4 linked regions of the Neodiprion lecontei genome follow. The protein of the gene in region 4 binds, or shares a complex with, the protein of the main gene of each other region. Links are inferred from orthologs where the notes say so. Each region holds a gene or a part of one and is shown on either strand. Other genes may lie near its edges.

Region 1 (9,137 bases), on a different chromosome or scaffold from region 4:
ACATTGAATTCATTTTAATCGATCGAGAATGAGATCGCTCGTGGAAATAAAGCCTCACCAATTAAGTGCGATTACAATATCAAAGTATTGCTACAAGCAAAAAAATTGAAACAAGATTAAAACGTTTTTTCAGAAAAATTAGACAAAGTTTCTAGAGAAAATGGGTGAAATTTCCAATATTGCTGGGTACATTAGTCCTACAGCGATTCAATAGAGCTTCAGGAATATACCGATGATAGATTCTTTTAAAAATAAAGGAAATAATGTACATACTATATACAATTCGTGAGTAATTCTAAAGCAGGTGCCAAACATGTTGTATGTCATTGATAAAAGTGTTGCAGGTCGTTAATTGTTTGACAAGTATTCGGATAACCTGTGCTTGCCGTTGCCTTGATACATATCAAGTATCAAGAAGCGTGTATTACGACCGCTGAGCGAATTGTGCAAACAACTGTTTTGAGACGTAACGATGCAAATTTAGCACATGGAAATATAGAGCACCTGTACTTGCTAATGCGATATATAGAATGCAATGCGTAAGGAAAAAGAATGTATATAAACAGCAAAAACGATGTACGAAAGTTGGGAAGACTTACATGATCTTTGGATTCTAACCACAAACTAGGAGCTAATAGCGGCATGTAAATTGTGACGGCAGTTTTGAATCAGAATTATGTGAATGAAATGTTCGCTTGTTCCCTGTGTTGAGAGCTAAGTAAATAAAAAGTAACAAAACGGATCAAGGTGGAATGATGAGTGGCAGATTAGCGAACTATACATACGTTGAGAAAATTAAAAGCCGAATAAGAAAATTGTGAGAGCAATGTAAAAAAAAAAAAAAAAACATCAAATATCAATGGGACGAGGTATCCGTAGGTATCGTGAAATTACGTGCGTGTGTGTGTCTGCTTGGAAATATTTTATTCGAGCCCATGCTAGGTATGTACGTATGTATCTACGTCTAGGAGGTGAGCTCACGAATTTGCGGTGCTGTTCGTCCGGTGATCGAAAACGTCTGCAGATTGTAGATATCGTAGATATGGCAAAATGCAAATTAAACGGACAACACTGATTGCGAGCGGGCGATCGAGCACGTTGACATGAGAAACGACAAGCCAACTAGATAGATAAGTTAGCGAAAGGGAATTAAGGCAGGAGCGAATTTGTGCATGTATTACCTAAACGCACTCACACAGTGCAGACTTGTTTTCAGTTGCAGTTAGTCTGAAAAAATGATACATAAAATGAAGAATGAAGAGTAGGAGAAAAAAGATAAATTACAAAAACCACTGAACAAAGAATCGAGACATAGTGCGAAAAAGAGGTGACTGTGTTTTTAACCGCGGTGTCAAACGCGAGGGAACCTGTGACCAGTAGCCACGGGGAGACAATCACATTGGAATATGTAATAAGTATGTACCTTGTGTATGAAACGCGTAGGACGGCGTGTTTGCAAACAAGCAAATAGCGGCGGTCGGAACTGGCGGCTGATCGCCGGTATGCTTGCCGGGTGTCGAGGTAAACGTTAAACACAACGGCGAGAGCTCGCCGGATTTGGATAATGGAGGTGCTGCACCGCCGCGACGTGCAGCTCGGGTCTTCAGACTCCTCTGGCTGAGGCCTTGGAGGCCGCCCCAATAACCCGACTGCGAACCCAACGCGGCGTCCTGAACCTTTATTAATCACCGATTTACTTCACGCTCTCATTTGCTCACTGCCATAAGATACCACGAGCCTAAAACATACGCCGATACCCTCCTTTACCCCGTTTTTGCTAATGGACTATTTTTTATTTTCATCGGAAGCTCCGCTGCTGCTGCTGGCTGTTGCTGTAACCAACCAAAGAAAACACAAGCGCACAAAGGGAAGAATTTGAATCGCCCTCTCCTGACTGACCCCCGGAAGACTGCTGCTGCCCAGTTGTTCTCAACCAAACGGCTTATTGTCGTTTACACGCGGCTTGATGATTCTTCTTGACCGACCGAGCTTGCCCTTTCTACAATTCTTCCAATTACTCCTTAGGAGAGTTATCAAACCGATTTTTACTCTCGCAACGAGTTGATTGGGAAAGAATATAATCATCGAGCATCGAGCTATTCGTTAAATTTGGGGAGAAAATTTACTACGACGGGAATATCGGCGCTACTTCGTGCTCAAATATGGCGGTTCTATTTACGGACTTTGCATATTTTGCTTATAAAAACAGCCCACGCTCATAAAACTATGACAGTATGGATGCTCCGCAGTTTCAAGTGAATCGTTAAAAATTTAAACATCAATTTTGTTTCACTTGACACCGAAATGATGGTGTTGTTCGCGAAATTGTTAATCGTCGGTATCTGACCAATAATAACTAATTTCTTTGGCAATTCTGTTGAACATTTATACCTTAAGTCTGGCAGCACTTACGCTACTCCTATCAAGTTATCAAATATGAGAAGGAAAATATATTCAGTATTTTCCTTCTCAATTTATTCGGGAAACTATATTCCCAGTTACCGACCATCCATTCTCAAAGTCATCGAGTGCCAGGATTGAACATCACTGCCGGAAACACTTCCCAAATTTTGAAGCGCTTCACTAGCGTTCCTAGAGTGACTTTGCTTCCAGCAAGTGACACAGTCGTAGAGAGCGCTTCGAACGCGTGTGTTTATTGGACTTTATTTTGACAAGTTAACATATAATAAACTTTTTCCCTTTGATCGAATAACAAGGAAACTATCACCATGGGGAAGCGACAGCATCAAAAAGATAAAATGTAAGTATTTATGAAGCCCTTTAAAACCTTCTTCATCAGCAGTGAATTGTATAATCTTCTATTACAATTTTGAGGTTATGGTCGAATCAATATTTGGGCCATGTTAAAGTTTAACATCGTAATAATGATCTCACAATCCCGATGTTCACTTAAACTGCCTAACTTATGAGACGACCTTGTCTCATTGTTATGAACACTTGATTATATTTATTTCAGAGATGATGAATATGCAAAAATTGACAAAACCTTCACCGTAACATGAACTTTCATTCAATTTCTAGTTATCTACCTTTTACAAATGTATTACTTCATTTTCCGTACATTCTTACCAAAATATACAATCAACTTAAATCTGGCAGGGTTTGATCTACACTCCCGAAGAATTCCGATTCAAATTTCACTATAAAGTTGGAGACTATTAATTTTTCAACTATATTTTAATACTTTCGTCCTGCATGCAATTTAATGCAATTTGAATGATATCTAGTCGGGTTTTCCAGAAAACAAGAAAGCCTTTACATAAATGCTTGCAGGAATTCAGTCAATACTGAAACTATTGAATTATTTAGGGGATTCTAACAATCTTAGCATCTATATTTAATTTGGTAGTCAAATTAATCAAGGACATAGTATAAATGTAAAATGTTTAAAAATCATATTGGGTTTACATGGCAACATGAATAAGTTAAATCTAATTGTTCACTTTAGGTACCTGACCTATACGGAATGGACAACATTGTACGGTGGCAAGAAAGCGGGAACATTAGAATCAACAGAGGACACAACATTCCGTCGTTTGCCGTACAATCATTGCTGCGTGAGCCTGCAACCCTTTGAACATCCGTACTGCGATGTGGATGGAAATGTGTTTGAGCTGCAGGCGATCGTGGATTATATTAAGAGGTTCAAACATAATCCAGTGACAGGAAAACCTCTAGATGCCAAATCTTTGACTAAATTAAATTTCTATAAAAATGCTGAGGGCGAGTATCACTGCCCTGTTCTTTTCAAAGTATTCACTAAACATTCTCACATTGTGGCCGTCAAAACAACGGGAAATGTTTATTCCTATGAGGTATGTCAGGCTAACTGGAATTTTTCCAGTGCAATATGCTTTGTAAATATTATTTGAAGGTATGAGTGTAATAGAATCTCAATTAGTCGGTTGCAGATGTTGCTGGTGGCGAATTATCCGTTTATGCCCGCCATCAGCAGTTGAGAATATTGCGACGAGTTGTAGTTACTGATTTTCAAAGAAATATCTAAGTTAATCAATTTTGTTATCAACCAAAATTATAGAATTTCATTAAACGTTTGTAAGATTTTTTATGGAAATCTTCCTAAGAGGTCAAAATACGTTACGAATGTGTTCGAGATGAAAATAAAAATGTATATCTGCCAGATGTGGTTCTATCTAGTCTAGGTAGCAAAGTTTCGTCTGTTACTTGAATTCTTAATTCCAGGCAGTTGAGCAGTTGAACATAAAGACACGAAATTGGAAGGACTTGATAAACGACCAGCCTTTTGAACGGAAGGATCTAATCACTATTCACGACCCTAGCAACGCAAACAAGTTCAACTTGTCTACCTTTCATCATATTAAAAACAATCTGCGAGTGGAAGACGAAGGTTTGATTTTCTTTTGTGGAAAAATTCTTACTATATTACACCATCTCATGGGAAATAAGTAAAGCATGAAAAGAACAAAAAACTTGATGCATACTGAAAGCACTGCTCAAATGATCTAGGTATCTTCGGTTGTAACATTTATGATCTTACAGCAAACTATTAAGAGCATTGCTGTATTCAGTAATAATTTAATTTATTGTACAGTGAGACGTCAATTGTTCAAAATAATTAAAGGACATAGGTATTTACCAAATAGAAATAGAATAGGCTTAATAGAATTTATGTATTTAATATTAAACTCAAAAAGAAAATAATTGGAAGACAGTTTGTGGAATCCAGAATTGACCATAAATTAATTTTTTTGTCACTTGAATTTGCTTCTAGTTTCTATACTTTATCATTTAGATATGCCAATTTTATGACGATGCTCATAAATACTATTTTTATATACTGCAGAGATAACAAAGGAGCGCAAGGATCCCAATGCTAAACTAAAAACTGTATCTTCTGAAACCAGAGAAATATTGGAGGAGTTGAACAGAGAATTCAAGCCTGTGGAGCCTAAAGATACGTCCACTAAAGATAAAGCGGACAAGTTCAATGCTGTAAGAGAGAAGACAGTGATAATCCTTTGTCGATTACATAGCATACGTTACGTACCTTTCGATATATCAGCTTGTTTACCTGGCCAAAATTCATCTCGAAGTCTTTATTCAGTGATGAATTGTTAACCAATATATACGGAGCTGTAATGACTGACATGACCACGTAGATATCTTCAAAGGCCGAAAACATACTTATGGCTGCATTGTTGTGTTACTTCAGGCACATTATTCTACGGGAGCTGTGGCTGCAGGCTTTACATCGACTGTAATGCCAAGAGAAACGACACATGAAGCAGCGATCGTAGAAGAAGATTTAGTACGATATGAACGGGTAAAAAAAAAAGGTAAGTTTTAGTGCACATGAATATATTGTAGTAGTTTTCAATTAATGCAATTTTCATGCAAACATTTTTCCGCCGGTATTTTCAGGCTACGTACGGTTCATTACAAACTTTGGATCCCTAAATTTGGAGTTGTACTGCGATGTGGTTCCGAAAACTTGTGAAAACTTTATGAAACATTGTCAAGATGGGTATTACGATGGCACCAAACTGCACAGGTCTATTCGAAACTTTATGGTATGATTTTACAATGCATATTCATCGCAAAATTCAAGTTATAATACGAGCATTGATGTATGGAGCTTCATTTTCGGTGCAGATACAAGGAGGGGATCCCACAAACACTGGCAATGGCGGGACGTCAATTTGGAGCAAGCCGTTCGAAGATGAATTCAAACCAAATTTAGTTCACCAGGGACGAGGTATTTTGTCAATGGCAAATTCTGGTCCCAATACCAATGGATCTCAATTGTAAGTCTGTTGATAAAGAGTACAAAATGTTCAGTACTTCACTCACTGGACTCACCGAACGTATTTACCTTGAACAAAATTATTTTTTTACAGTTTCATAACTTACCGATCGTGCCGTCATTTAGATCGGAAGCACACAGTATTTGGTAAAATTGTTGGAGGGTTAGACACACTGAATGCGATTGAAAAAATTGAAGTTGATAACAAAGACAGGCCGATTGAAGATATAATCGTACAGCGTGCCCAAGTCTTTGTTGATCCTTTTCAGGAAGCTGATGAACAATTAGCAGCTGAACGGGCCGCTGAAATCCAAAGATTAGCACTAGAAGAATCAAATAAAAAATCTAAAAACAAAAATGAAGGAGGCAATGTACTCAAAGTGTATCGTAGTGGTGTTGGCAAATATGTGCAGTTCAATGACGAACAAACAAAGTAAGTATTTTGTCATGTGTTTAAAAAACCAGGAACTCATCTACATATTTAATGTTATTTATCGACTGATAAAAGAACAAAAATATATATTGGAAATTATAAAAGTCTAAGAAACTTCTATTGTTTTCATTACGTTTCAATAGTTTTCTTTGCATCTTTTGTCCGACCAAATCAAAATATGCAATAGAGCAGGGATCACTAATAATATCATTAACCCAATATACTTCACTTATTCCATATCGTACATATTTTTCATATGAATTTAAAATTTCTTGACAGTATCAAATCATAGTGGTGAACAGTCTTAGAAAACCTTAAAATATCCTGGCGTTATAAAATCCTACAATCATTCTCAATCGGTTTTATTTAATGATTTTCTTTGCTTATACTAATATAACTAATAATAAATAATACATTCGACAAATAATATCGAAATATCTTTACTAGTAATTATTGAACTTTACAATTGTATGGTTTTTGCAGGACTGAAAAGGTAGACACGAGCAGTGAGCCAAAACCTAAGAAGATTAAAGATGCATCTTATACGTTTAAAAATTTTTCTGCGTGGTGAAAGAATATCCTTAAAAATACATTGTAATTATATTCATGAATTGTATAGTTTTATCAGTGTTGAATATTGCCCACAAAGTTGAAAATATTCAAATTTTTTAAATATTTTTTTTTCAACTCACTAAATATAATATTAAAAAAAAAAAAACTCAACGCTTTATTCTAATACTAGAAATTTATCCGTTATGTTAGCTTGCCTAAGTCTGTTACACTGCAATATAACTGAAACCAAAAATAATCTTCTGAATCGAAAATAGTCACCAAAAAATATTTGTCGGCCATATTAACATCTTTAAATTTGCGAGAAGATTATTTTCATAAATAATAAAATTTTCAAAAATGAAGTATTGTATTTCGGATTGCTTCAAGGCAGTTTTGTCATCTGTGTTTGCATATGCTGTGTCAGGGGTCTGGATTTTTTTTGATTGCAAACACTTCATAACCAACGGAAATAGTTGAAAACAAGTTTTATACATGCTACATTATTGAAAGATGGAAAAAAAATGTATACCAATTACGGTGAATTAATTTATAATATAAACTACAATTGGTAAAATACAATCAGATATTTATTATACGTAATAATTGATGAAGCACATAAATCAGGATGGAGAAGTAAAATACATGTATCGCATACAAGCGTCATTAAATCGGCATTCATCATTTTCTATAATAGTATCATAAGTCGAGTAATTCGTTCTCAGAAAACAATTATGTATGTATATTAGGCAAAGGCAGAGCTGGGCTCCTCCATGTTTGATGTTTCGCCGCTAGTCTCTTATCGAAATCCTTCCATATTGTCATCGGTGACGTACCGTCTTCGGATTGTGGCCTTTTGCAATCAGTTTTTTAATAACAGTGCCTGTGAAATAGTGGCCCGGAATTTCCTCGAGGCAACTGGTCAAAGCTATGGATGACTTAGGTAAGTACTTATTAATTTAAATAATAAACAGTGACAGAGATAACCTCAAATGTCGCACTTGCTGATTTTTAGGAGTGTGCATGTTCTGTTTTTGCGAGAGTTCATTACATTCGTCCTGTACCAGGTACCTTAAACACGAACGAACATTTACATACGTTCGTACATTCTCTCGTTTGCAATTCAAACGATATTGCATAATGTAACCAAATATTCCATTATCGCCTTACAGTGCGCATTTTGATTGATGCGTCTCCGTCTCGTTAAATACGGCGGGAATTTTCGAACTGTTACTAGTGTTGAGCATGCAGAAGCGATTCATGAAATTGCTGGAGTATAATTCAACGTAACGAGTATGTAAGCTACAGCAAGCTATGCTCTGTAAATGTGTTTGTAGAATGATTATGAGTATGAAGTTACTTACGTTACTGTAACGATGCATGTCTAAGAAAAATCGTTACTTCGCATCTTTAGGAATATCCGAGATTTAGTAAACCATTATAAACAAAAAATACTTTAATTTTGAAAAGCCAACTCCTTGAAAGTAATTTAAACATTTCCCAATAATTATATGATTTTTTAGCACAAGCTTTCGTAACGTTAACGTTACTAACTTCAGCCTGATGAATGATTGATGAGATTTTTGTTGAATTTATAAGGTTCAACTTAATAACGTTGCTGCAACAATGCGTTGAAAGAAACATTACTATATTTCAATATCAGAATAATTTTTAAGGAGTTGAATTTCCAAAATACGAGTCTTCCACTTTTGTATTATGATTTACTAAATTGCAGATAATCCTAAAGTTTCGAAAAAGCGAGTTTTCATAGAAATACATCGTGATGGTAATCGCATTTAAGTTTATTACTTTGGATTTTTGGACAAATTAAAATGTTGAAGATTTTTTTATTTACACACACGAATGATGTTTTCTGTAAAAATAAAATACGATCGGACTTACAGGGTTCGAAAACTAACAGCAAGTTGATGCATTTCATCAAGGGATGCTATAGACTTCTGTTTTATCAACCCATTTGTTTTTACAAATTATTCGATAACCGTCAATGATTCGGCAGTACTCTGAGTGCCCAACGCAGGCGTTTTATTATGAGGAATAATGAAAAGCGCACAATTTGCCGCAATCGTTTTGACAATGCGAATTTGAGGAATTCGCAATAAACAAAATTAGTCATTCGCATGTGATGCATCGTAAATGAGAAAATAACAGATGACAAGTGACAATCGCGAAACGCCTCCTCGGCGTCTCGATCGGCATGAAAACATGCGTGATGATTTATTCGACATGTGTATAACATACATACCCATGGACGCGCAGAGGTATCCCACCTGCTAGGAGAATCGTTTTCGAACGCGAGGACGTTCTGACATGACACACGCACCTAATGTG
Region 2 (7,811 bases), on a different chromosome or scaffold from region 4:
CTTGTTTGCTCCAATGCTTATGACTTGGTACTTTTCGATGTCGTGCGTTAGATCGAATCCAATTATCTTTTGCAAGGTAGTTCCAGCATTCGGCACGAGATCGATACCAGCAATCACGGACATTTCGTCCCAGTGCCGTTTAACCAGTGCCGGGTTACAGAAGCATATCGCCAGGGGAACGTACTGGTTGAAATCGTTCACCTCCTTGATCACCTGCCAACACAATTTCAGCGGAGCTGGTTGTTGCATCGGATCTGGGTCATCAACGACCCCTGAAAACCGGTACGATTTGTTCGCCGCCAGGTCCGCCTTTAACTTTGTACGATAAGATCTACTGATTTCACCAAAACGGGCGAAATATTCGTCAGTTTTTTGCTTGATCACATTCGCATCTAGGTAATCGAAAGGTCCGTCGAGCCATACGTCATTGTCACGTTTCCATCTGTAGATCAAGCGAACGAGGGTATGGAATGGCTCAATCGTTTCTTTCACCTCATTAACCTTGGTGAAAGTTGTTTCCGGAAACTTAAATAGCCTCTCCTCCAGATTGATCCAGCTTATCTGTTCGTCTATCCCTTCAACGTGTCGCATCAACATACTGAGGTCGTCAGCGTACTCTCGAATGCGTTTTGCGTCATCCATATCATCGAGAATTACTAGTTTTGGGAAAAACTTGTCGACTTCTTCGTTGAGCACATTTATGCGCCTCTGCAGTTCGTCTTCTAGCTCGCATTTTGTCGCCTCGCATAGTATTGAACTTTCTTCAAACACTGGCCCGATTTTAATGAGCCAATTTATCGTTTGCCTGTTCAGCTCCAGATGCCAGTCGTCCAGAGTAGCAATCCCTATTAAGGAGTCTAGCATTTCAATTGAGCACCGAATCTTCTCTTCAAGTTCCCCAATTAGTACGCTGGAAGCGTATGCCATGTATTCAGTCAGCAGGAATAGGTCTTTGGCGTTATTCGGTACGTTCAATGCCTTTGTTGTCAATTTTTCGAAAGTCTTGCAAATCGACTTATTGTACTCTTGATGATGCCTCACTAGCTCTTTGACAACGATGTCGACTATTCTTGCGGCCTTTGATTTCAGAATTGACTTTGCTGTGGCTTGTGCAAGTTGCCCAACTGCGTAATACTCGTTCGCAACCATATCGTTAGTTTCTTTTATGAACCCAATGAATCTTTTCACTTCAACGCAGCATTCGTGGAACTCGCGGTATTCACTAAGAAACTCCACAATTTTCGCTTCAGTTTCAGGTCTGCATACGACATCGAATTTACTCTTGTGTCGGGCACAATGAGAGTTCACAGGGTGAAAGACTTTTTCTAGGACTGTTTGCAGTCTCTCGTGGGCTTCGTTTCTGAACCATTTTGGCAGTTTTACGTCCATGTAGTTTCTCTTGGTTTTTATCTTCAGATAGTACTCGAAGGGAGTAATTTCCTGGCCTAAGTTTGCCACATCCTCTACAATTTGGTGATAACTTTGGTAGATCTCCTCGATGCATGGATTCATCACGAGTTCGCAATTCGTGTAAAAGAGCTCGAGCTTTAAGCGTGGACACTGATGTGGATCACCCAGAACTTCAATCAAGTCTTCTATGGTCATTATCATGCGATTCAGGATTTCTTGGACAAACAGTCTTGTAGCGCAGCGTAAGAATTGCGTCAAAGTTTTCACTATGCAGGATAGATCAAGATACTTTGGTCTTTTTAATAGTTTTGCTACTTCGTCGTAATAACGCCGCATTATCAGAAGCCCACTGTTCCGAAGATCTTTGGCAACGGCACCCTTCAGCTTGTGTAACTCCAGTAGTCCCAAGCTGTGATAGCGAGAAAATTCTAGGAACTTGTCCGGAAGTCCAGAGTATGCCTTGGCTTTGATCACCCTAATCAATTTGTGGGATAAAAAATACTGTCCTCTGATAAAGTAACGATTTTTCAAAAACGTTTCATAATTTTTTGTCCGGCCTTCGTGAGCAAAGGGAGTCCCGATTGGTGAGAGATCAGGATTTTTTTTCCTTAGACTTGGATGCAGTACCATTTTAATTCCAAATCCATGCATTTCTTCGAGATATTTCTGTCTCGTCTCGTGGATTATTTGTTCCACAATGTGTGGGTATTTGAATCTGATACTTTCGGGGATTAGTCGCAGAATGTTTTCTTCCCACTCTATCGGATGTTCAACTGTAGGTATAGAATTGCCATAAAATTTTGCAATCTGGATGTAAAACGATTCTGGTAACTGGAGGCGTTGGTAACGTGTCTCAATACTATTATTACCCACATCCCTCATCAATAATTCTTTGGCACGCAAATTATCGGCAGAGCTTGCAATTAACTCAACTACTTCACGCGTTCGCTCTTTCTGCGTACTAAATTTAAGTAATGGATTTTTTTCGTAGTCCTTACTTGTAAACTGATTCAAATTTGGTATCGGAGGTCTTCGCGGCACCTTTGTCTTGCCGTAGACGAGATTATAAAACTCTTGTTTTTCCATGTCAAATTATTTTTCTTGTATTTAGTAATTTTAGTCAATTTAATGTAAGTCTATAAGTTTATTTTCAGTCTTTTATTACATCATCCATGCAAGTCTAGAAAAAACGATATATCGTGCAAAAAACAGTGGGACGAACTTTGAATTACTTCGCTATATGTTAGTTTAATTAATTTTACCTTACACGCGCGTATATAATTACGAACACAACTTAAGTATATTCGTTTTGTTATTACTATATGTACTATAATTTTTAATGGAAAAATATGTGTGCGGTGATAAGAATTACTTGTAAACCACGACAGCGAACTGATGTTTGGTCAATAATACCTATATGTTCTTCTTTGTCTTGCAGTGTTACGTCAGTAGTTACTACGGTAAATAAGTATACCTTGTAATTGGTTGAGTTATCGTAACTATTATCGAGCATGATTAAAAAAAAACAACACGTTTCTTGAGCATTTATGCATTAATATGGCAGATTTACGAGTCTGTTATGCTACAGGAGACCCGAAAATCAATCTCTGGAGAAGTTGGTGGTCTTAAATTCTGTTCATAAAACCATTTGACGCAATAGTCAAATTAAATGAATTGATTTGAAATCACAGCTTCCAGCATGGCGTATTTTTGATGCCCAAGCTGTTAATGAACAGTAAACAATTTCTACGTACGGTTTGTGTGCCTAGAGTTTCAAACTTGAATGAAGGATTCTTTTGTACCGACGTATCAAGTGAGGTGTGCTAAGGGGCTAATTTTGTTTAAGAGTCTAAGACTTACCAACGGATGGAAGTATAGACAATTTAGTCCTCGACCAATGAATGAGCTCGATGAGTCCATCTGTTCCTGTATGGAAATATGAAAAGTCTATAAACTACTAGACACTAAAGTTTTCAAATATTTTTGCATATGTTGAAGATATTTGACCACTATGAGTAACATATACATACAAGAGCCGCCTACAACAGGGAAGGTATGAATCCAAATAACTTTACGAGTCTGCGACAAGAATACTGAAATATAATCTGCGCGGAACAACTTAACCTCCAATTCGTACGGATTTACTGTTAAGATTGTCGCCGAGAATAAGGATTAACAATTGTACAAGTCGTTTTAATATGGTTTAAAAGCAACCATCCAGTTTATTCATACGAGTATTTCATACCAGCGGCAGTTTTATAATGCATGAAGTTCGCTTTATCTCATCGTCAACTTTATATCGGCAGTGAATGTTGAGGTCTTGCTTATAGCATATAGGCTGAATCTTAAATTTTTCTAGGTGATACTGCAGACCACTGTTGGCGAAATAGACTTAGAATTATGGACTAAGGAGGCACCAAAAGCTTGTAGAAACTTCATACAGCTTTGTTTGGAAGGTTATTACGATGGCACAATTTTTCATAGAGTTGAAAAAGGTTTTATTATACAAGGTGGCGATCCCACGGGGACTGGGGAGGGTGGCGAGAGTATATACGATGGCCCGTTCAAGGTATGGCACTATTTTAAACGTCGTCTTCAATTGTATCATTATCTATTGAGGTAGAATTAAACTGATCTGTCGTTACTCAATTACTGTTGAGCATTTTCAATGAGAAATAGAAATACGCATACAATATTTATATCGTACTTGCATACAAGTTGAAGAATTTTCTTTATTCATTACAGGATGAGTTTCACAGCAGATTACGTTTTTGTCGGAGAGGCTTGCTTGCAATGGCGAATGCAGGAAAAGATGATAACGGTTCTCAGTTTTTTTTCACACTGGCAGCAACTCCTGAATTGCAAAATAAACACACGATATTTGGTAAAGTTACAGGAGAGACAATTTACAACATGCTCAAACTTGAGGACACATTGGTCGATGAGGTACTGGGAATTTTTTCGTCATATTCCCATATGGAAGTTGAGAATTTTTGGTACGTTTAGTAGTTCGTTTTAAAGTATCCATCTCTCAAGTATAAAATGCAAGAATTGAAAAAAAATTTTCATCTTTAACGTACCAAATGTGACATTCATTTTGACGATTTTCCTAAATTTTTAAAATACGATATTCATTCCAGAACGATCGTCCATTGTATCCGCAAAAAATTGTTAAAACAGAGGTTTTAAATAATCCATTTACCGACATCGAGCCTCGAGTTGAACCCAAACAAGTTGAGGCAGAAAAGCTGCAAAAGAAAGAGAAAAAATCTGGCGTGAAGTACTAATCTTTTTTACACAATTCTAGAAGAAGTTTTTACCTTGTTAACATTGTTAATATTTTTGCCGTGCTGAAACCTTGTAATTGCAGAAATTTCAAACTTCTGTCTTTTGGAGAGGAAGCGGAGGAAGATGAAGAGGAATCTGTTGTTTTGAGCAAACAGTTTAGCACCAAGGGAAAATCAGCTCATGATAATTTGGCCGATCCTAAGCTTAGTTCAGAGCTTGCTATAGACAATGGTGAACCATCTAGTAAAAAGATGAAAGGAGATGAGGATAGTGATTCGGAGAGTGCAACCGAAGAAATATCACTCGATGAGATTGCCAATCTGAGTAAAGAAAAGCAGTAAGCAATGTTTATTTTGCGAATTCATCTACAAACTAATGACTTTTTAACTATCGGACTTTACTCTGCTAGAGCTATGAGAGAAAGGATAAAGAACAAGTTAAAAGACGCTAAAAGTACATCAGATAATAAGAAACCAAAAGATCGGAAGATCGATGAAGTTCAGAACATCGACAATGATGCTGAGCCCGAAGAAGAAGCTTATTACTTGGGCAAAGATCGTGATGAAGAACGAAAGAAAAAAGCGTATGTAATGAAGATGATATATTTTTCCAATTTTGAAGTAGATTGAGATTGGCTGCTGGTACCTCTTTTAACCGTTTAAATTAATTTCATTATTGCTTTTTAGTGAGGAGATACGAAAGGAAATTCGAGACTTGAAACGCGACGTCAGAAGTGAAAAAAAAGCAAAAGAAGAGGAAGCCCAGATACAGGTGGAGAAAGAACAGGAGAAGGAAAAGAAATCTAGCGTTTTAAGGGAGTACATAGAAACCCAGGAGAAGTACAAGGAAGCTAAATCGAAATTGCCAAAAAAAGGTAATTCCTCCTCAGAGAGTATAATTCTAATACAGTGTTTTTACTTTTCTGCATTCTTACAGGCGCATCCCGAGAAAATTTCACTCTGCAGCTATTACAAAAGTTTCGAAGTAAGCTACAAAGCGCTAAGGAACAGGTTGAGGAGTCAACTGAAGTCGCGGAAAAGAAGAAAAAACCAGATAACCAAGACGATGACGGTTTTGACGACGAGAAATGGATGGCGCACACTTTACGGTTCGAGGAAAAAACGCCAGTTTTGGCTAAAGACGCTAGTACAAAGGCCGACGATTGGTTCGAGATTTATGATCCGAGAAATCCGTTGAACAAAAGAAGACGCGGTGAGAAAACACCAAAATTGAAAGACGGTGAACACTCTCGGCATAAATAATAACTATAAAACGCTAACGAACCGTATAGACTTCCAAAAAAGTGTCGTTTTCAAAATTGACAACCAGTTTCCATTGATCTTGATTATAAATTCCAAAACTGTTACAAATCGAATAAGCGTCATCCATTTAATGCAAATCTGATTCAACATTCGCAATTCGACAACCTAAACACAGGATTTGACTACAAATTACAAATGGCATTCGCTAAATGTAATATTTTCTTTATATGTATACATACTTACTGTACAAGCAACTCACAGTGTACATAATTCCGCTACCAGTTCCCGGTAGCGCAAATATTTAGTTTCAATTCAGGTAAAGCGGTGTATTATTAAATTATTCTGGTGGAAATATTTGCATCGCAACATCTATTTGCAATGTTTGCACTTAAAACGGGATGATAATCAAACGATGTAGAAATGATATAGTATACGATCATGTATCGATAACTCTAATCCAATGAATAAATTAATTCTTTTTTCTAGAGGTACATTTCATGTCGGATACTACACTTGTTTCACCCCTTGCACGTTTTATTTGCCTAATCAGTGTTGCGATGTGTGGCGATTAGCATGTCAACGACGGCCATGTTCACTGTCAAATATTTCTAAATAATTTCTTCACAACCAGTTCGTAGACGTACCTTTTTTATTCTACTGGCAAATAAACATTCGTTCGGTAGTTAGGCCAGTAGTTCGACTGGTCAAGAGTCAATTCAAGATTATATGCGGCACTGATAGACTGTTGTGACGTTGTATGAATGTTAATGAAAGAATGTAAACACGCCGAAATGATGAAAAACACAGCGTGGGAAACGCCGCACGCGTAAGATAAGAAAAGATCACATAATTCTGCAATGACTTGACGGTTCAGGATTATACGTGCAATCGTAAAAGAGATTTGAAATGTATGAGAGTAAATCGAGAATAAGCGGGTTGGTGAAATTTTTAATTTTGTTATTCTTGTTGTTATTACCCGTTACTATTGTTATTTTTATTATTATTATTGCTATCTTTTAAATAGCCGATGATATTGCCATGTAGTTATAGTATTTGGATCTGGCAATTACAGCGAAAATCTACCATCGCTCGAGAACCGATCGTATAGCGAAATAAGATAGCTATAGACGCGAAATTTATTAACGTCCCATAAAATGCCTTATACAATTTATACACACAGTAAAATTTATTTGCTTGGATTTGCGTGATTTGCAATTGGTCGTAATTGTGTTTGCGAAGCGGTTCCCGCGTGCCGTAATATAATCCGTCCCTAATTCTACTAGAAAATAAACAAATCATTTTTAAATGGCAGAATATTTGTAGGTATGTAGGCAGTCCTGATATCGCGAGGGAAATCAGTCGTAGCGATTGTGAAGAAATAAGCGTTGAATATCTGCGGATTACCGGTTCTATCTGTGTTATTTTAATGCACGTATGTGTGGAATACACATAATGGTATACCGTCATAATCTATATAGACATTTGAAAATTGATAAGAGAAAACGACTAGTAATAAGTTTGCGCGGGATAAAGCGTCAGTCAGCCAGTAGACAGCGTTCAGTGGAAATCTATTTCTTATATAACTTCCTGCCATCTTTACACGCACGCACGCGCATAATATATAATGTACAAACTTATAGAGGAGACGATAAGATCGCGTAGAGCGTAAAAATTATCAGCGCACGCTCGCTGTCAGATAATTCGTCAGTTTGTATTTAGCCCGTTTCGCTGGACCATCTAGTACCGCATTATAGTTTTTTCTTTTTACTTCTTTTTTTTTTTTTTTCAAACAATATTCGAGAACAACCGAATGCATAAATTTATTCATAATTGATATTACTGATTACGGAC
Region 3 (5,689 bases), on a different chromosome or scaffold from region 4:
CAGTTCATCGATGTAGCAGCAAACATCCCCGGGACCGAGATCGTACAAGTCTAATATCTCCAAATGCTTGCATGCCCTTCCGATTTCAGTGAGAAAAATACCGTCCTCGATTGGTACCGATGACAAACGTAAGGTTCTAAGATTTGTCCAACCTGAGATTAGGTGCAGAGCGTTCAAGTCCCACATTTCTTCATATTCGATCGTGCTGAAGCAACATTTAAATAATTTATCGCTTTTTGTTTTGAAAACTTAATTATTTATAAAGAAAATCGTATTCATTATTTTACAAATTTCCATCATTATCGAATGTTTATGATTTTTGACTCTGATCATGATTCTGGTACAATTATTGAATTATCATGATACATAGGATAATCAGAATAAAGGTTTTCGCACCTGTTATTAGTATCCAGCGTCAGGTGTTTAAGGTGAGGCGAATTCTGAACGATCATACTAAAAGATGAATCTAGATTTTTGTTGGTCAGATAACCCTCTTGTTTAACTGCCTTATTATATTTTCTCTTCAGTTGTTTCCGAGAGTGTACAAAACCCGATACTATAATTGTACAGAATTGGAAACCAATGACATTAGAGGTCAACCGTAGATATATAGTTATTAAAATATTACAAAAATATTAATTATTCGCTAAAACGGTGTTCAAAAATGTTATGTGAAAGACTTTCCCTTGCCTTTTGTTATGTTGGATAAAATGAGCTCGGTGAGTTTTGGAAAAGCGGATACGACTAAATGCGCATCGCAATTTGTTTTTATGTTATGATTGATACGTAAATACGAAAGTTCATAACTTGGATCTTTCAGCAGTCGCTGAAACATTAAGAATATAAAAGTATTTCTTATCACGTCGTCGCTTAAAAATTCGAATAACTTGTTCCTCAACATATTGTCATTGTTAAATGACGTCAATTTCGGTTAGAATAATTCATAACAACCCATTGGGTTTGAGAGTTTTGTTGAAAAACTGATCGATACTTAGGGTGTACTTTTACCTTTGCCTCCTCGATCTTGATAACACATATGTCTGTCTGATGAAGTAGAGATAAACAACAGTAACATTTTGGCGGGTCTTTATGGGTGACTTTAATCACTTCTGTTAAAAGGCGTTCTGTGAGCACAGACTGGCCAAATTCAAAATAGCTGCCGAAGTAAATATTTCGAGGATTGTTTTTCATCAAATTTGTCTTGCGTAGCTTCTTAGCAAATGGCACGTTTTTTTCTAAAAATTATTAGATTTGCTATCAGATCAAATGGGATTAGATATTGAGCGGCCAATGTTACTTTGAAATCAATTTATCACAGAAACATACCAAAGTAAAAACCGTTCTGAATGTAATACTTGGGAACGTGAAAATCAGTCCATTTCTCAAGTTCTGGAAGCAAAGTCATGAAGTATCTCTTCTCGGGGCCGTAGCAGGGTCCACAAAATTCAATGATTTCGAGACTCCTAAGTTTTTTGTGGTTTAAGTACGGAAGGTCGTCTGTTGCAGGAACATAACAGGATTTCCTTCCAATCATGCGTAGCTCCTTGAGTTTTTGACACATTTGTAAATATTGGACAAACTTTTTTGTATGTGGTGGATGCCATATTTGTATTGACAAATACGTGAGTTTGCTTAAAGGCCCTCGTAGAACCTTGCAGCAAGGTTCAGCGTTATCTTCCATTCGTCTTGGCCAGTCGATAGAGAGTCTCTTTACATGTGGTAATAACTTTAGGAAATATCCCAACCCCTGTACGTCTTCAAATCTTGTGCCACTTATGTTTAAGTCAACTATGTTCACTGCATTGCCGATGTAATCGTTAAGCATCTGCTCCGGCTCTATAAAATTTACATTTCTCAAATTTACTCTCTGAATGTACCTGCTTGCTTTGCTGTTGTCAAAATATTGACGGATGTCAGAAACTGATGTCAGGCGCCCGTCTTTGGAAAAATCTAAATTCCTGAAATGCACAGATAGAAAAATCTTATCACAGATATTGCTTAGTGTGGGATATAATTGGATTTTCGTTGATATACGTATATATTGAATCACGTATGTAAGCTCCATTCTAATATTTGCAACTGAATCATTAAGGATGATTAGGTTGATTGAATTTTTTAACTTCAACTGAGCTGTTTCATTTGATAAGAAATATTAATCTTTTACATGGAATGATGAAAATATGAAGAGTAAATTAAAAATAGGAATTATGTATTCACCTTAATAATTTTTTCTCTTCGAATATAAGACTGTGTAATTTTTTGCATGAATTACCCAAAGGCACACGCTCTCTGGCATTCAAATGGAAGATAATTTTCATCAAAATTTCATTGGGAAAATCCAGAATGTGACAGATGCTGGGCCTGAAACATATTGTTATATAAATTCTTTTGCGTAATTAAAATATGGAAAATATTTTGTTGTTCACTAGTGAGTGACAATACACTCGACAGTGAGATGTCAAAAATTTTCTGGCTACGCCCTCCTAAATTTCAGTTTTTTGAAACATGATTCAAATGATTAAAAAGACATAATTTATTCAAATTACGATATTGTATTCCTACAGTTTCGTAAATACGGTTTGTCAATGTTTGTTTGGGTTTTTTACATACCCAGCACTCATTTTGTTCGATGTCTTCGTCAGCCTGTATGCAATTGTTGATAATTTGCACGATATCGATAGTGACTAGCAGTTCGCGGCTAATCAGGAAATCAGATACGTCAGAGCGGTGATAAGCGTATGATATAATGGGGCTCTTCTTCCAGTGTTCTATACGCCCATTGCTCACATTTGTAAACGGGAATTTCTATTTCAGGGACTTTTAATCTAAAATACGTTATTTCATTACTTCACCTGTTATCAAATATATGATCGACTTGACAATTACGATAGAACGTGAGCGAAATCTGAATAAACAGAACTTCGGGTTATTCAGTAGTAGATGCTGAATCACTTACAGTAGTGAGAATTCAATCCTGATTATTTCATTGAATTTAAATAAGTCGATATTACGTTTATTCAAATTAGTTACGCGCGCGAAAATCGAGGAATCCCCTTGAATTCGCACAAATTTCAAGTCGCGTGGTCATAGTGACTTCAGTGTTGCCAACTGTACTCGAAATTACGTCCAGTTTGGCCGTTAGCAGCGCGCCTAGGGTGTAAATTCGTGTCAAGTTGTAACATTGTAACAATAGCATTCACAGAGCTTTAACCTGAAAAGGACGCTTAAGACTGGTGTTATTTGTTTTCATCTTAACATAACCTGCCCTTCTCAAGTTCACGAACTTTTGAAAATCAAGGACTACGTACCATCAGACGATTCGTACTGCAGTGAAATTGTGTCGATTCTAGAGCTTTAGTAACGGTAAGTACCAATCAAACTGCCTCTACTTGCCGACGCGTTCGTTTGATTCCGACACAAATATAACCTAACCTTAACCTTGACCCAGCGTTACCTGACCCAACATAAAAAATTCAGTTTTTTCACCATAAACTAGTAATCCTCTATTATTGCCCGAAACTTTTTTCTTTTCTTGTTTCTGATCTTTTTTCTGATTATGAAAGCTAAATACCGTCCCACTTGAATCGACATAAAATACTGCATAAACTAGCAATTTATTCACTGCATAAAATCTGCAAATGTGAAAATTTTTTTCCATTTCAAGATTCTTTTTGAGTCATGGTGTGCGAGAAGTGCGAGAAAAAATTGGGTCGCGTAATAACACCAGACCCGTGGAAATCTGGGGCCAGAAACACGGTGGAAAGTGGAGGAAGGAAAGTTGGGGAAAACAAAGCTCTGTCGACTAGCAAGGCGCGATTTAATCCGTACACAGCTAAGTTCGAAACCTGCAAAATATGCAGACAAAAGGTTCACCAGGTCGGATCTCATTATTGCCAATCCTGCGCATACAAAAAGGCCATATGCGCTATGTGCGGTAAAAAGCTGATGAGTACTAAAAACTACAAACAGTCCGCCACGTAGATGGTGCGCAGCAGTGCGTGACGGAAGATTAACAAGACATGAGAAATATCATCAAGATGAAGCTATTCTTTACTGTATTTGAGTCAAAGATTTGTTTTCCTCCTTTTCACTTTTGCCGGGGTATAAGGGAATAACCAGAGAGTCCCAGGGTAATTCAGAATCTGTGCGCAATTCAAAATACAGGGTTTTTTGATTCCTCAAAAATGTAATTTATTTATTCAAGGTACGACCTTATTTTCTTTATATCACGACGGTGGCAGATTTTATAATACCGCACCATAGATGATCGGTTATTGAAAACTTGGAGGTGTAAGAAGGATTATGAATTATGTATAATATTTGGTGCATTAACGCTGCAATTGTTATTGCTGTCTTCCTTATTTTTTTTTTTGTAAACAATGAGATTTATTTATTTTGTGATACAAACATTTGTTACATACTAAGCAATGATAATAATAATAATAATAAATCATGATGTTTGTATAAAATTAAATAAAATATGCAATATTGTATAATATCATAACAATTCATCTGTCTTTTTTTTCATTCCGTTATTCACGCTTATAAAATCGTCATATCCTTATGTAGTTTTATTTTCACAGTAAAAGAATTTACACACCCATACTAACAAATTTTTTTTTTCACGTGTATTTATCGTCGCTTACATAACTGGAGATTACTGAAATAATTATGGTTTTTAACTTTCCAAAAAGTGTACGAAAATATTTTCCATATTAGCCGATATTATTTTAGTCTCGTAAAAATTTCTCATTCGCTATAATGCAATGCGACGAACAAATTTTACAAAAGAAACTGAATCGGGCTTGTGTCAAGTTAAAAACCATCAAGTCTTGTGAAAGATACCCATGTAAATTTACTGAACTGATAACCAATCTTACACATTATTAAATTGTGTTATTTAAATAATGTCTAAGCTGGTCATTTTATAATCTCTTGAAAGAAATTATGCAAATTTGCGTTCTTGGAAAACAACCTCTCTGTGGCACCATGAAGTTTTTCAAAAGAAAAACGAAAATGCGCAAGCGAAAAAATTTCCGTTATATATATAATATGTACATACATATATGCGTTATGTGAATCCAAAGCCTAACAACAACGCATCTACGTTATGGAAGATATAGCAGTATAAATGTTTTTCCTCGTTATACTATTTGCAAATATTCACCCAACCATTATACTATCTGTATTTACTATACACGCGTAACAAAAATAATTGAAATTAACCATCAGGGGTACATATTCGATATACAAAATATAAAAAATCTGTATAATTCTGGCGTAATATTATTTAAGTGGGCATATTAATAAACACCATGAAGGGTATACTGCGTGAATAAATTACAAAGCATATGATAGGTACATTCGCTTATTGAAATTTTCGGTAGTTAGAAAATTTGTAAAAGCAATAATAATAATAATAATAACAATAGTAATATAGATGTTTTTCGATCATGCAAGAACTAAAATTCTCGTTGAAACAACCGAAACTTGAAGTGTCACCAATTTCTGGCTTTGACAATAGTACAAAAAGATTCAAGTCGGGAAGTGAACTATTTAAGAGTCTGCAGTAGCGGCCATTAATCTCATTGTTCGTTAAAACAAAAAATTCAAACTTCTAGCTTCCCTTTCTCTGTTCTCTGGTGATTGTCACATTTTCTATTGCACTAGGAGTAAAATAAAATTGTTT
Region 4 (9,270 bases):
GCATATTCCGCTTCTTTCTTCCTTGTAAGATTATCCTTTGTGAAGATAACATACCTTACATCTTACAGACATTCGACGAGTGCGTCAGACATGGACAACCTGACTGTGATCCAAACAATATGTGGCTTCAAGTTCCGTTCCTCTGTGGACACGAACCTGCTTGTTGGTATGAAGTTTTTACACTTAATATGCTTGGAAATCAATTGACTGAGAATTATTGTGCAATTTCTTATCTTTTATAATCACAAACGTATATTTAGTTGAATGTAATGATTTAATTGATTAAAGGGAAGTCGGTAATCCATGGGCAGTTGCAGAAGCTAAAAGAAATGTAGAAAAACACTACCTCCTAGTTGGAGTCACAGAAGAATTACCAGAATTTGTACAAACTCTTCAGGCTACACTACCACGATTTTTCAAAGGAGCCTATGATCACTTTATGCATAGTAAGACACGTGTTAGATATTAAGGATTGATAATAGTAAAGCATAGCATGTTTTAAAATTCAATCAAATTTTTAATAATTTTTCTAGTCTACTACTTTTATCCACTGGCAATGTCTTTACAATATAACGCAACTACAGTTTGTGATAATTTAAAAAAATCTCAAATCAATTAATTTTTTCAGATAGCAAGTCCCACTTACGACAAACTACCCAAAAAATTGACCCTCTCCCAGAAACTGTGAAGAAAATTCAAAATTCGCAAGTATGGCAGATGGAGAATGATTTATACATGCATGTTTTGGCTCATTTTCACGCAGTAAAAAAGCGTGTTATAAACTCAACGCCGCAGGAAGCGAATCAACACTTCATGTATGAAAAAATCAGACCAAAATGAAATTAAACTATGGTAAATTTAAGAGTATTGAAATATTTTTATTTAGTGAATCGACACTTTGTATCTGAAAAAATTAAACCAGTTGAGTATAAACTTTATTGAATTAAAAAGTGTTAAAATTTTTAAAAATTATTCTTGTGTATGGTTTTCAAGTGGTCTTTCTTGTTTTTCTTTACAATTTCATTCATATCAAAGAATTAAATATTAACAATCATCATATATATATATTTATTGTTGTGTGCAATGTCGGAATTAAACTGATCTATGTGATAATTGTGAACTATTTATTTCTACTGTAGTACATTGCTCACAGAATTCCGTATGATTTTTCTAGGTCGTAATATGAACATATAAACAGGATAAAGACCTCGTGGAAGTCTGGATTGTTTTTGTTCCTTTACAGAAGAAAATCCAGCCAGATCGAATAAACGTTGTAATTCCTTCAGTGGGCGTGTTACTGAGGAATCCTGTGTATCAACTTCAACGTTTTCAGAACTTGTTATATTTTCTTTTACTATTACCACGCCATTCTCTTTGAGTCCTGCCCTGTTGAATATATTTTACAAAGTTACAGATTACTATTTTACATTGTAAATTATACGGTAAATTCTCATTTCCACTGTAAATTACAATACTGAAACAAAATATGAATAGCAAATGTTACTAACTGACAGTGGCTGAAAAATTTTATAAAATCGTTATCTTGTAGATGTCCTAAAACCCATTGACACCATATGACATCATACTTCCCTACTTCAGGACAAAAGTTTTGCAGACCTGTAAGAGTAATATCCTGTAAAGTATTACATGTATTATATGTAAATTATTTAAGATTCTCAGGCTTTTACTTTCATACCTATGGGAAAAAATTCCCCAACTCTTTTTGTACGACCAGCGAGGTAAGTTTTTGCTGCTTCTAGAAACTCGGAATTTTGCTCAACCAAATCAACTTTTTTGAAGTGTTTGGTAAGTAGATGTTTTGATATTCTGCCAATCCCAGAACCACAGTCTAAAGCATATTCTTTTCTCGGAGGATTTTTTAACTGAAACGTGCGTTATATGGAAATCACAGAATATAGATCAAAATATATTTTTGGAATCAGCCTTCAGATGGATTCCAAAATTATACGAAAGCACATGTGGGTTTGAATTTTGAGGTTACGTTCCTAGGTATCTCGGCATCAATGTGGCGAGCATCAATAAAATATTTATGAAACACAATTTTGTGTAAATTTGACTGAATACCGTACCTTGAAGGCTGATCTTAGAAATAATTCCGACCCTTCGATATCTGTGTTCGAAATGAACCCAAATCCTCCTAACATTCCATCCTCTGTGGCTGGGACTTTAGACCAGTAGTTGGCAGCGTCGGAATAAAAATTTTCAGTCCTTTTGTCATTTTTCTGAATATCATCCATTACTAAATTGATATTTTTAAGATTTGAGCACTTTTTCTAATTTGTTATACACATCACTTTCATTGTGTAATTTTAAAATGTACCCGGGTTATTCAATTTTTATATTGTGACTTTATTATGATTATTATTGTTTTCCTCGACCGTTCCAAAAGGCAAACTTATTTACCCGAATGTGTGTGCATCTCAAACACGATTTTTATGGCTGATTTCAAACTATTTCAAATTAGTGGTCAGGTTTTTTTGTATCGTGGTTTGTTGTTTAACAATCGTATTATCATTCCCGGTCCCGTAAAATACGCACGTTAAACAGTTTTCATACATTTACCAGAACTGTTAGTGAGTATTCATCTGTTGTCCAGCGATAACATCGAAATTTAATAATCTGCTTCAACCTTCATTTCAGTTACTAACCGTTGTGATATAATTCAGGACTTAGCCTAGATGAGTCGTTGAGGATTTTAGAAACAGAAAATGAGCAAGTATAGGAGGAAGCAATCGTCGCCAGAAGACAGTGACAGTGACAGCGAAGAGGAGAGGCGCAAAAGGGATATTAAGGAAAGGGATGAATTTGCCAAACGTCTCAAGTCCAAAGATGATACGAAGGTGCGCAAGGTTGCTACACCAGCTGGATCCGGGGCTGGTAAGTTTAGGCAAAATGTCCTAAGTTGTTTTATCAGCTTTATACAATCACTTAGTGGTGACATTCATACACTTAATATTATCAAATTTGCAGCGGAAGCAGCCAAGAGACTTAAGGTTATGGAAACTCAATCTCGTGATAAGCTTATTCCTAAACTTCGCGTCGAATCGCGGAGGAAGTATTTAGAGAAACGAAAGGAAGATAAGGTAGCTGAGCTCGAGGCTGACATATTAGACGATGAATATCTCTTTGGAGATGAGATGTGAGTTTTACAGGAGTAGAATACTTTTCTGGTTGGATTGAAGTATTGATTTTCAAAATTATAAATCAAATTCATTTAACAGCCTGACTGAGCGCGAAAAGAGGGAACGAGAACATAAAAAGCAGCTACTTCAGCTTGCCAAAGAGCATGAGAAGGCGCGTGAAATGGAACGGGTGCAAAGGTATCACATGCCTCATGAACGAGGCAAAGATGCTGTTGAGCCTGAAACTGTTGACCCAGAACCACCGCAATCTGAGCAAAGCAAATGGGAGTCGGACCAGATGTCATCAGCAGTATTTCGTTTTGGGGCAAAAGATAGAAAAGGTAATAATTCTTCTCACAATTATCAGTAAGATTTGCTTATTTATAATTTTTAAGGAATATTTAATTTTTTACAGCTAAACAGGATTATGATCTGTTGCTGGAAGATGAAGTAGAGTTTGTCCAGGCGCTGCAGATACCAGGAAGCTCCAAGCATAAGAAACAAGCTGTTTCTCCTCCGAAGGAAATGAAAGTTTTAACTACCATTGAAGAGACACAGAAAAGTCTTCCTATATATCCTTTTAAAAATGACTTGATACAGGCTATCAGGGATCATCAGGTGAAATTTGATATCTGTATTACGTTACTCTCATTCATTTGCCTTGTACTTTTTTTACTGTAAGATTTATGTTATGTCTGAACAGGTGTTAATTATTGAGGGCGAAACTGGTTCTGGCAAAACAACTCAGATTCCACAGTATTTATATCAGGCTGGTTTTGCTGATGACAGTAAAGTCATAGGCTGCACTCAGCCCAGAAGAGTTGCTGCAATGTCTGTTGCCGCAAGAGTTGCACATGAAATGGCTGTTAAATTAGGAAACGAAGTTGGATATGCTATTCGATTTGAAGACTGTACTTCTCAGCGTACCCGTATCAAATACATGACTGACGGAACTTTACATCGTGAGTTCCTTAGTGAACCAGATCTTGCTACTTACAGGTATTTGTCCTTAAGTGTATGCTTAACTTTTTTCAAAATAATAAAACCTAATTTCTACTTCAAGAAATTGTACAGTCAGTTTAATTTATTGCATAGATCCATGTTTGACAGCAAAAAGTCATTATATAGATCCATATACCTATGTAAGACTACAAGTAAAAGTATCGAATCTGATTGAATTTTCAGTGTGATGATCATAGATGAAGCTCACGAAAGAACATTGCATACAGACATTTTGTTTGGTTTGGTCAAAGACATAACAAGATTTCGTACAGACCTCAAGCTGTTGATATCTTCGGCTACACTAGATGCCACAAAGTTCAGTGAATTTTTTGACGAGGCACCAATCTTTCGCATACCTGGCCGAAGATTTCCTGTTGACATTTACTATACAAAGGCACCAGAGGCTGATTACATTGACGCTTGCGTTGTATCTATTCTTCAAATACACGCTACTCAACCATCCGGAGATGTACTTGTCTTTCTTACTGGTAAGCATTTATTGAATTTGCATTAAGTAAAAAATGTAGTTCGAATATTTTGTTTTTATATTCGTGGCTGAGCTATGTTCACAGTTCTGTAACAAGTTTGACTGTATCTGATAGGTCAGGATGAAATAGAGACATGCCAGGAGATGTTGCAGGAACGTGTCAGAAGATTGGGGACTAAATTGGCTGAGCTTCTTATCTTACCAGTTTATGCCAACTTACCCAGTGATATGCAAGCAAAGATATTTCAACCTACACCTCCTGGAGCTCGTAAGGTAACAAATATTCCATTATGATTTTGAATAGTTGTTTAAACTTCTTCTGTTAATTACAATCGAGCTGGTTATTTGTTAACAGGTAGTCCTAGCAACAAATATTGCTGAGACATCATTGACAATAGATAATATCGTCTATGTGATTGATCCTGGCTTTGCCAAGCAGAATAATTTCAATTCTCGAACAGGAATGGAGAGCTTGATGGTTGTTCCAATTAGTAAAGCTTCAGCCAATCAAAGAGCAGGCAGAGCTGGCAGAGTCGCCCCGGGAAAATGCTTCCGCTTGTATACTGCTTGGGCATATCAGCACGAACTTGAAGATAACACCGTTCCCGAAATACAGAGGATTAATCTTGGTACAGTATATTTTCAAATTGGCTGTCAATCGCAGAGATAGTCTCAAAGTTCATAACTTCGCCAAAGGCAGAGAACAACGAACGTCATTATATTGGCAATTCCACTCATTTTTGTGACACTGACATGATGTCTATTCATCTGATAGAGATATCTCTACAAAGCGACTAGAAATGAAAAATAAATGTTTCAAGTATACGTTGATCTACTTTCCTTGGAAAAACAGAATAATTTTGTATATTTAGACTTAGTATAAAAATCGCATTTTGGATAATTATTGATTCAAAATGTCTGTTCTGGAGTCAGTGTTATACTATTAGGGAAACAAATACTATCTGTGAGAATAACAGCCTAAAATAGGAATATGCAGATCCCGTTAGCGTGTACATGAACAAAATTAATAATGCAGGTAATGCAGTGTTGACATTGAAGGCACTAGGCATAAACGATTTGGTACATTTCGATTTTTTGGATCCTCCACCGCATGAAACCTTGGTCTTGGCATTAGAACAGCTATACGCACTAGGGGCTTTAAATCATCGTGGAGAACTGACAAAACTTGGTCGTAGGATGGCGGAGTTCCCTCTAGACCCAATGATGGCCAAAATGCTCTTAGCTAGTGAACGCTATCGTTGCTCAGAGGAGATAGCGACTATTGCTGCGATGCTATCTGTTAATGGAGCTATTTTTTACCGTCCGAAAGACAAGATCATCCATGCAGATACTGCAAGAAAAAATTTTCACGTTCCTGGAGGGGATCATCTCACTTTACTGAACGTTTACAATCAGTGGCAGCAGAGCGACTTTAGCACCCATTGGTGTTATGAAAACTTCATTCAGCATAGGTAATTTTTTGTCCTAGCTTTTTTATCCCGATCGTGTTCAGGTTCAACGCTCAGTATCTGCCATTTACAAATGAATATTGTAACAATGAATTAAGTATAATTTAATTTTCATTCTTGATAGGTCCATGAAGAGAGCTAGGGACGTCAGAGAACAACTTGTAAGCTTAATGCAAAGAGTTGAAATGGAGTTGATATCTGGTATTGATGAAACAATTAACATACGAAAGGTATTCCTGCTAATTGAACATTTTCACTTGATCTGATTATTTGTTATTTTTATGTGTGTATTGTACATTTGATATTACTTTATAACTAATTTGCAGGCAATAACGGCTGGTTACTTTTATCATGTTTCACGCCTTTCGAAAGGTGGTCACTACAAAACAGCCAAACACAATCAGACTGTTTCCATCCATCCAAATAGCTCTCTGTTCCAAGAACTACCTCGATGGCTGCTTTATCACGAGCTCGTATTTACTACCAAAGAATTCATGCGACAGGTAATGATGTTAGTTAACATTAGTTTGGAAATAAAAATCACGCTTATGTCCAAGTTCTGGAGAAGAACTTAGTTTCTAACTTAATCAATCATTTACAGGTAACAGAGATCGAAAGTAAATGGCTTCTCGAAGTAGCACCCCATTATTATAAACCGAAAGAACTCGAAGATTCGACAAATAAGAAGATGCCAAAAATTACGGGTAGATCAGGTCCTGATGGAACAAATTGATGGGAAAATGTCTTAGTTGGATTAAAATAAGGCTGTGCTTGATATTTGTGTTGATGAAACTAATCAATGGGCACGATTATAAATTTTGTTTCATACTTCATTCAGAGTTGAAAAATTGGCATGCACTTATTTTTGGTATTGTTTACGTATTGTATTTTGTAAATATTAATTGAAGCACACTTGTCATTACTGTACAATAATTCAAGTGATACGACTATGCAGTTGGATGAGTTTTTGAAAACATGATATTTCTAACTGTGACGTACATTAGGAAGTGCGAAGCTTCGGAATCTAATTTACTCAAGGTAAAAAGGTTGATACTGCGTTACAGGTAAAAAGTAAATAAATAATTAAAATATTACGTTATGTACTTTTTTTTTTATACAGATCTGATCTGCAGCTTAATTATGGTAACGGGTACTTGCCTAAAGTGCGATATTTTCCAGAAACGAGAATAGTTGCTATAAGTGCATTGAAGAATTTTGAGAATTTTGAAGAAAATCTTCCCAGGCGATTGTTGCTTATCTCATTCGAGGATAGAGAAAATTATATGGTTGTAAATTTAGGAATGCCAATGCTACGTTTTATTCTTTCGTAATTTAAGGCTGAAAGCATTGAGTAACCATCAATAGAAGGTGATTATTTAATGTTGAAAGTTTCGAGTCCGGTTTTCTAATTAGGGGACGAACGTTATCTCGTCGCATATCTCTATTTTTTCTTCGTGTAGCCAAGTCCTATCTGTCAGGAGCGTCAAAACTCGTGCATATTTATGTATTTATTTGTTGTTGTATCAAATCAGAGTTCTTGCCCCGGGCGGTAAGTTCATGGGCAGGCAAAAAGGAAGAAAGCCAGTTCGAGGATTGCGAACACATTTGACGAAGATATTTTACTTGATAATAGAATATAAAAAAAAATTTGAATATACTTACTTCACATGTTCCTAGAGGTTTTTTCATGAAATTTTTTATTTTCTATCAGTCATGAACGAACAGAGTTAAGAAAACGGGTTCTCTTAGGATGAATATGTTGTTTACATATCAACCTGTAACACATTTCTTCAGAATTTTCGTGTGGGTTGATTTTTTATTCAAACAAATCACATTAACAAAAAATTTTTTGTTCTGGGCTCATGCCCTTATCCCCAACATATTTGAGAAAATACTTGAAGATTCTGAATATTCAATTAATATCTACCAGTTAATTTCTAAATTTTTATGCAGTGAATGTTCATTTCCGAATGAATCACTTCTATCCATTAACCTTCGGAGTACACACCTATTTTTTCTATCACTGAGTATACTCTGGATCTAGGAGACCTCATTTTACAAATTTTTCATATTTTGGGTAAAAATTCGAAAAAATTTGTGTAAAATCTTGATAACATGTAAACTTGAGAACAGAGTCTGATAGACCCTGAGAATTACAGAAATAGATTTTCAGCGAGTACTTCAATTTTCTTCATTCGCAATATACAAATCATTTTGCAACAGATATTTTCGCTATTTTTCACTTGTATTTCTCATTCAAACCTTTGTCATCTGAACATTTTTTACCGTGCCATCTACGTTACATGAAATATCTCAGAATATTCAATCAACTATATCTCATATAATACATAGAAAAATGAATACCATATGAGATTTTAGATGTTTGTAGTTCGTAAAATAATCAATCAGAGAAAACATAATATACTCGTACATTTGGAACTTGTTCAAACAGCGCCAAGTCGGAGCATAGGGCACTATGACGAAACATTACGTCACGCCGCCACACTCCCAGTACTATTATTGCAACACCTACTTTTCTGAAATGCCCGAATGAATTTCCAGAACTTAAAAAAGGAAATTGAGTAGATAATTAGATTAAGTCAGTGGTAGAGGGCGGCAGTCATAGGTCATGCCCACCCCCCCCCTCCCCCACACATGGAAACATCCCAGATCCGGCGCTGATTTTTGATTCTACACCTGTCCAAGTTGTATCATACGATATTATGACAGTATCATCAGTATAAGAAAAAACAATATCATCGGGCATAGTATCAAGAAGATCACTATCATATAATTAACCCACAAATGTCCAAGTATTGTACCTTTAGCCACTCTAGTATGGTAATAAGTTACTATATCATTAGTTTTAACTCGTTGCAGCCCATTACTAAGATAGCTGATAAAAAGCTTATGAGCAACACTTCTGATTCCATAGGTGTTTATTTTATGCAGAAGAATTTTGTGGTCTAATGTGTCAAATAGTTTGGCAAGGTCAAAAAAAAGTTATAGCTGTCGGAAAATTATCTATTTTTTCTAGTATCAAATTGGTGATCTTGTCAAGTGCATCAGTTGTTCCACAATTTTTAACGAAGCCAAATTACTTTTTTGATAAGATTTTATAATTATTTAAAACGTTAAAAATCCTGTTGTAGATAATTATTTCAATTAT

Evidence for each region.
Region 1: probable pre-mRNA-splicing factor ATP-dependent RNA helicase mog-4 (region 4) and RING-type E3 ubiquitin-protein ligase PPIL2 share a complex: the UniProt entries of both Homo sapiens proteins name them as parts of the minor spliceosome. The link is inferred for Neodiprion lecontei from reciprocal best matches to the Homo sapiens genes DHX16 and PPIL2.
Region 2: probable pre-mRNA-splicing factor ATP-dependent RNA helicase mog-4 (region 4) and spliceosome-associated protein CWC27 homolog share a complex: the UniProt entries of both Homo sapiens proteins name them as parts of the minor spliceosome. The link is inferred for Neodiprion lecontei from reciprocal best matches to the Homo sapiens genes DHX16 and CWC27.
Region 3: probable pre-mRNA-splicing factor ATP-dependent RNA helicase mog-4 (region 4) and cysteine-rich PDZ-binding protein share a complex: the UniProt entries of both Homo sapiens proteins name them as parts of the minor spliceosome. The link is inferred for Neodiprion lecontei from reciprocal best matches to the Homo sapiens genes DHX16 and CRIPT.

What each region holds. Positions count from the first base shown.
Region 1 is NC_060264.1:9,675,584-9,684,720, reverse strand, and holds RING-type E3 ubiquitin-protein ligase PPIL2, read left to right. Parts: upstream 1-2,618; 5' UTR 2,619-2,729; coding exon 2,730-2,761; intron 2,762-3,469; coding exon 3,470-3,836; intron 3,837-4,224; coding exon 4,225-4,390; intron 4,391-4,846; coding exon 4,847-4,995; intron 4,996-5,215; coding exon 5,216-5,339; intron 5,340-5,424; coding exon 5,425-5,573; intron 5,574-5,655; coding exon 5,656-5,807; intron 5,808-5,900; coding exon 5,901-6,239; intron 6,240-6,722; coding exon 6,723-6,810; 3' UTR 6,811-7,010; downstream 7,011-9,137. UniProt on the Homo sapiens protein: Has a ubiquitin-protein ligase activity acting as an E3 ubiquitin protein ligase or as an ubiquitin-ubiquitin ligase promoting elongation of ubiquitin chains on substrates.
Region 2 is NC_060260.1:40,537,429-40,545,239, forward strand, and holds spliceosome-associated protein CWC27 homolog, read left to right. Parts: upstream 1-3,325; 5' UTR 3,326-3,421; coding exon 3,422-3,463; intron 3,464-3,769; coding exon 3,770-3,979; exon of another isoform or gene 3,980-4,021; intron 4,022-4,117; exon of another isoform or gene 4,118-4,155; coding exon 4,156-4,356; intron 4,357-4,490; exon of another isoform or gene 4,491-4,550; coding exon 4,551-4,690; intron 4,691-4,780; coding exon 4,781-5,035; intron 5,036-5,107; coding exon 5,108-5,281; intron 5,282-5,384; coding exon 5,385-5,572; intron 5,573-5,634; coding exon 5,635-5,960; 3' UTR 5,961-6,468; downstream 6,469-7,811. Other genes in the region: dynein axonemal heavy chain 7-like, read right to left, coding at 1-2,183, 2,409-2,496. UniProt on the Homo sapiens protein: As part of the spliceosome, plays a role in pre-mRNA splicing. Probable inactive PPIase with no peptidyl-prolyl cis-trans isomerase activity. As a component of the minor spliceosome, involved in the splicing of U12-type introns in pre-mRNAs.
Region 3 is NC_060264.1:28,957,354-28,963,042, reverse strand, and holds cysteine-rich PDZ-binding protein, read left to right. Parts: upstream 1-3,177; 5' UTR 3,178-3,363; exon of another isoform or gene 3,364-3,630; intron 3,631-3,664; 5' UTR 3,665-3,678; coding exon 3,679-3,981; 3' UTR 3,982-4,504; downstream 4,505-5,689. Other genes in the region: uncharacterized protein LOC107218174, read right to left, coding at 1-205, 397-556, 691-826, 1,009-1,235, 1,327-1,958, 2,218-2,361, 2,611-2,621. UniProt on the Homo sapiens protein: As a component of the minor spliceosome, involved in the splicing of U12-type introns in pre-mRNAs. Involved in the cytoskeletal anchoring of DLG4 in excitatory synapses.
Region 4 is NC_060261.1:34,123,808-34,133,077, forward strand, and holds probable pre-mRNA-splicing factor ATP-dependent RNA helicase mog-4, read left to right. Parts: upstream 1-2,453; 5' UTR 2,454-2,594; intron 2,595-2,661; exon of another isoform or gene 2,662-2,687; 5' UTR 2,688-2,729; coding exon 2,730-2,898; intron 2,899-2,991; coding exon 2,992-3,160; intron 3,161-3,242; coding exon 3,243-3,484; intron 3,485-3,558; coding exon 3,559-3,761; intron 3,762-3,846; coding exon 3,847-4,142; intron 4,143-4,328; coding exon 4,329-4,633; intron 4,634-4,747; coding exon 4,748-4,905; intron 4,906-4,987; coding exon 4,988-5,261; intron 5,262-5,668; coding exon 5,669-6,104; intron 6,105-6,225; coding exon 6,226-6,331; intron 6,332-6,427; coding exon 6,428-6,604; intron 6,605-6,702; coding exon 6,703-6,834; 3' UTR 6,835-7,195; downstream 7,196-9,270. Other genes in the region: heparin sulfate O-sulfotransferase, read left to right, coding at 69-166, 289-446, 629-840; N-terminal Xaa-Pro-Lys N-methyltransferase 1, read right to left, coding at 1,131-1,386, 1,509-1,617, 1,697-1,883, 2,091-2,258. UniProt on the Homo sapiens protein: Required for pre-mRNA splicing as a component of the spliceosome. Contributes to pre-mRNA splicing after spliceosome formation and prior to the first transesterification reaction.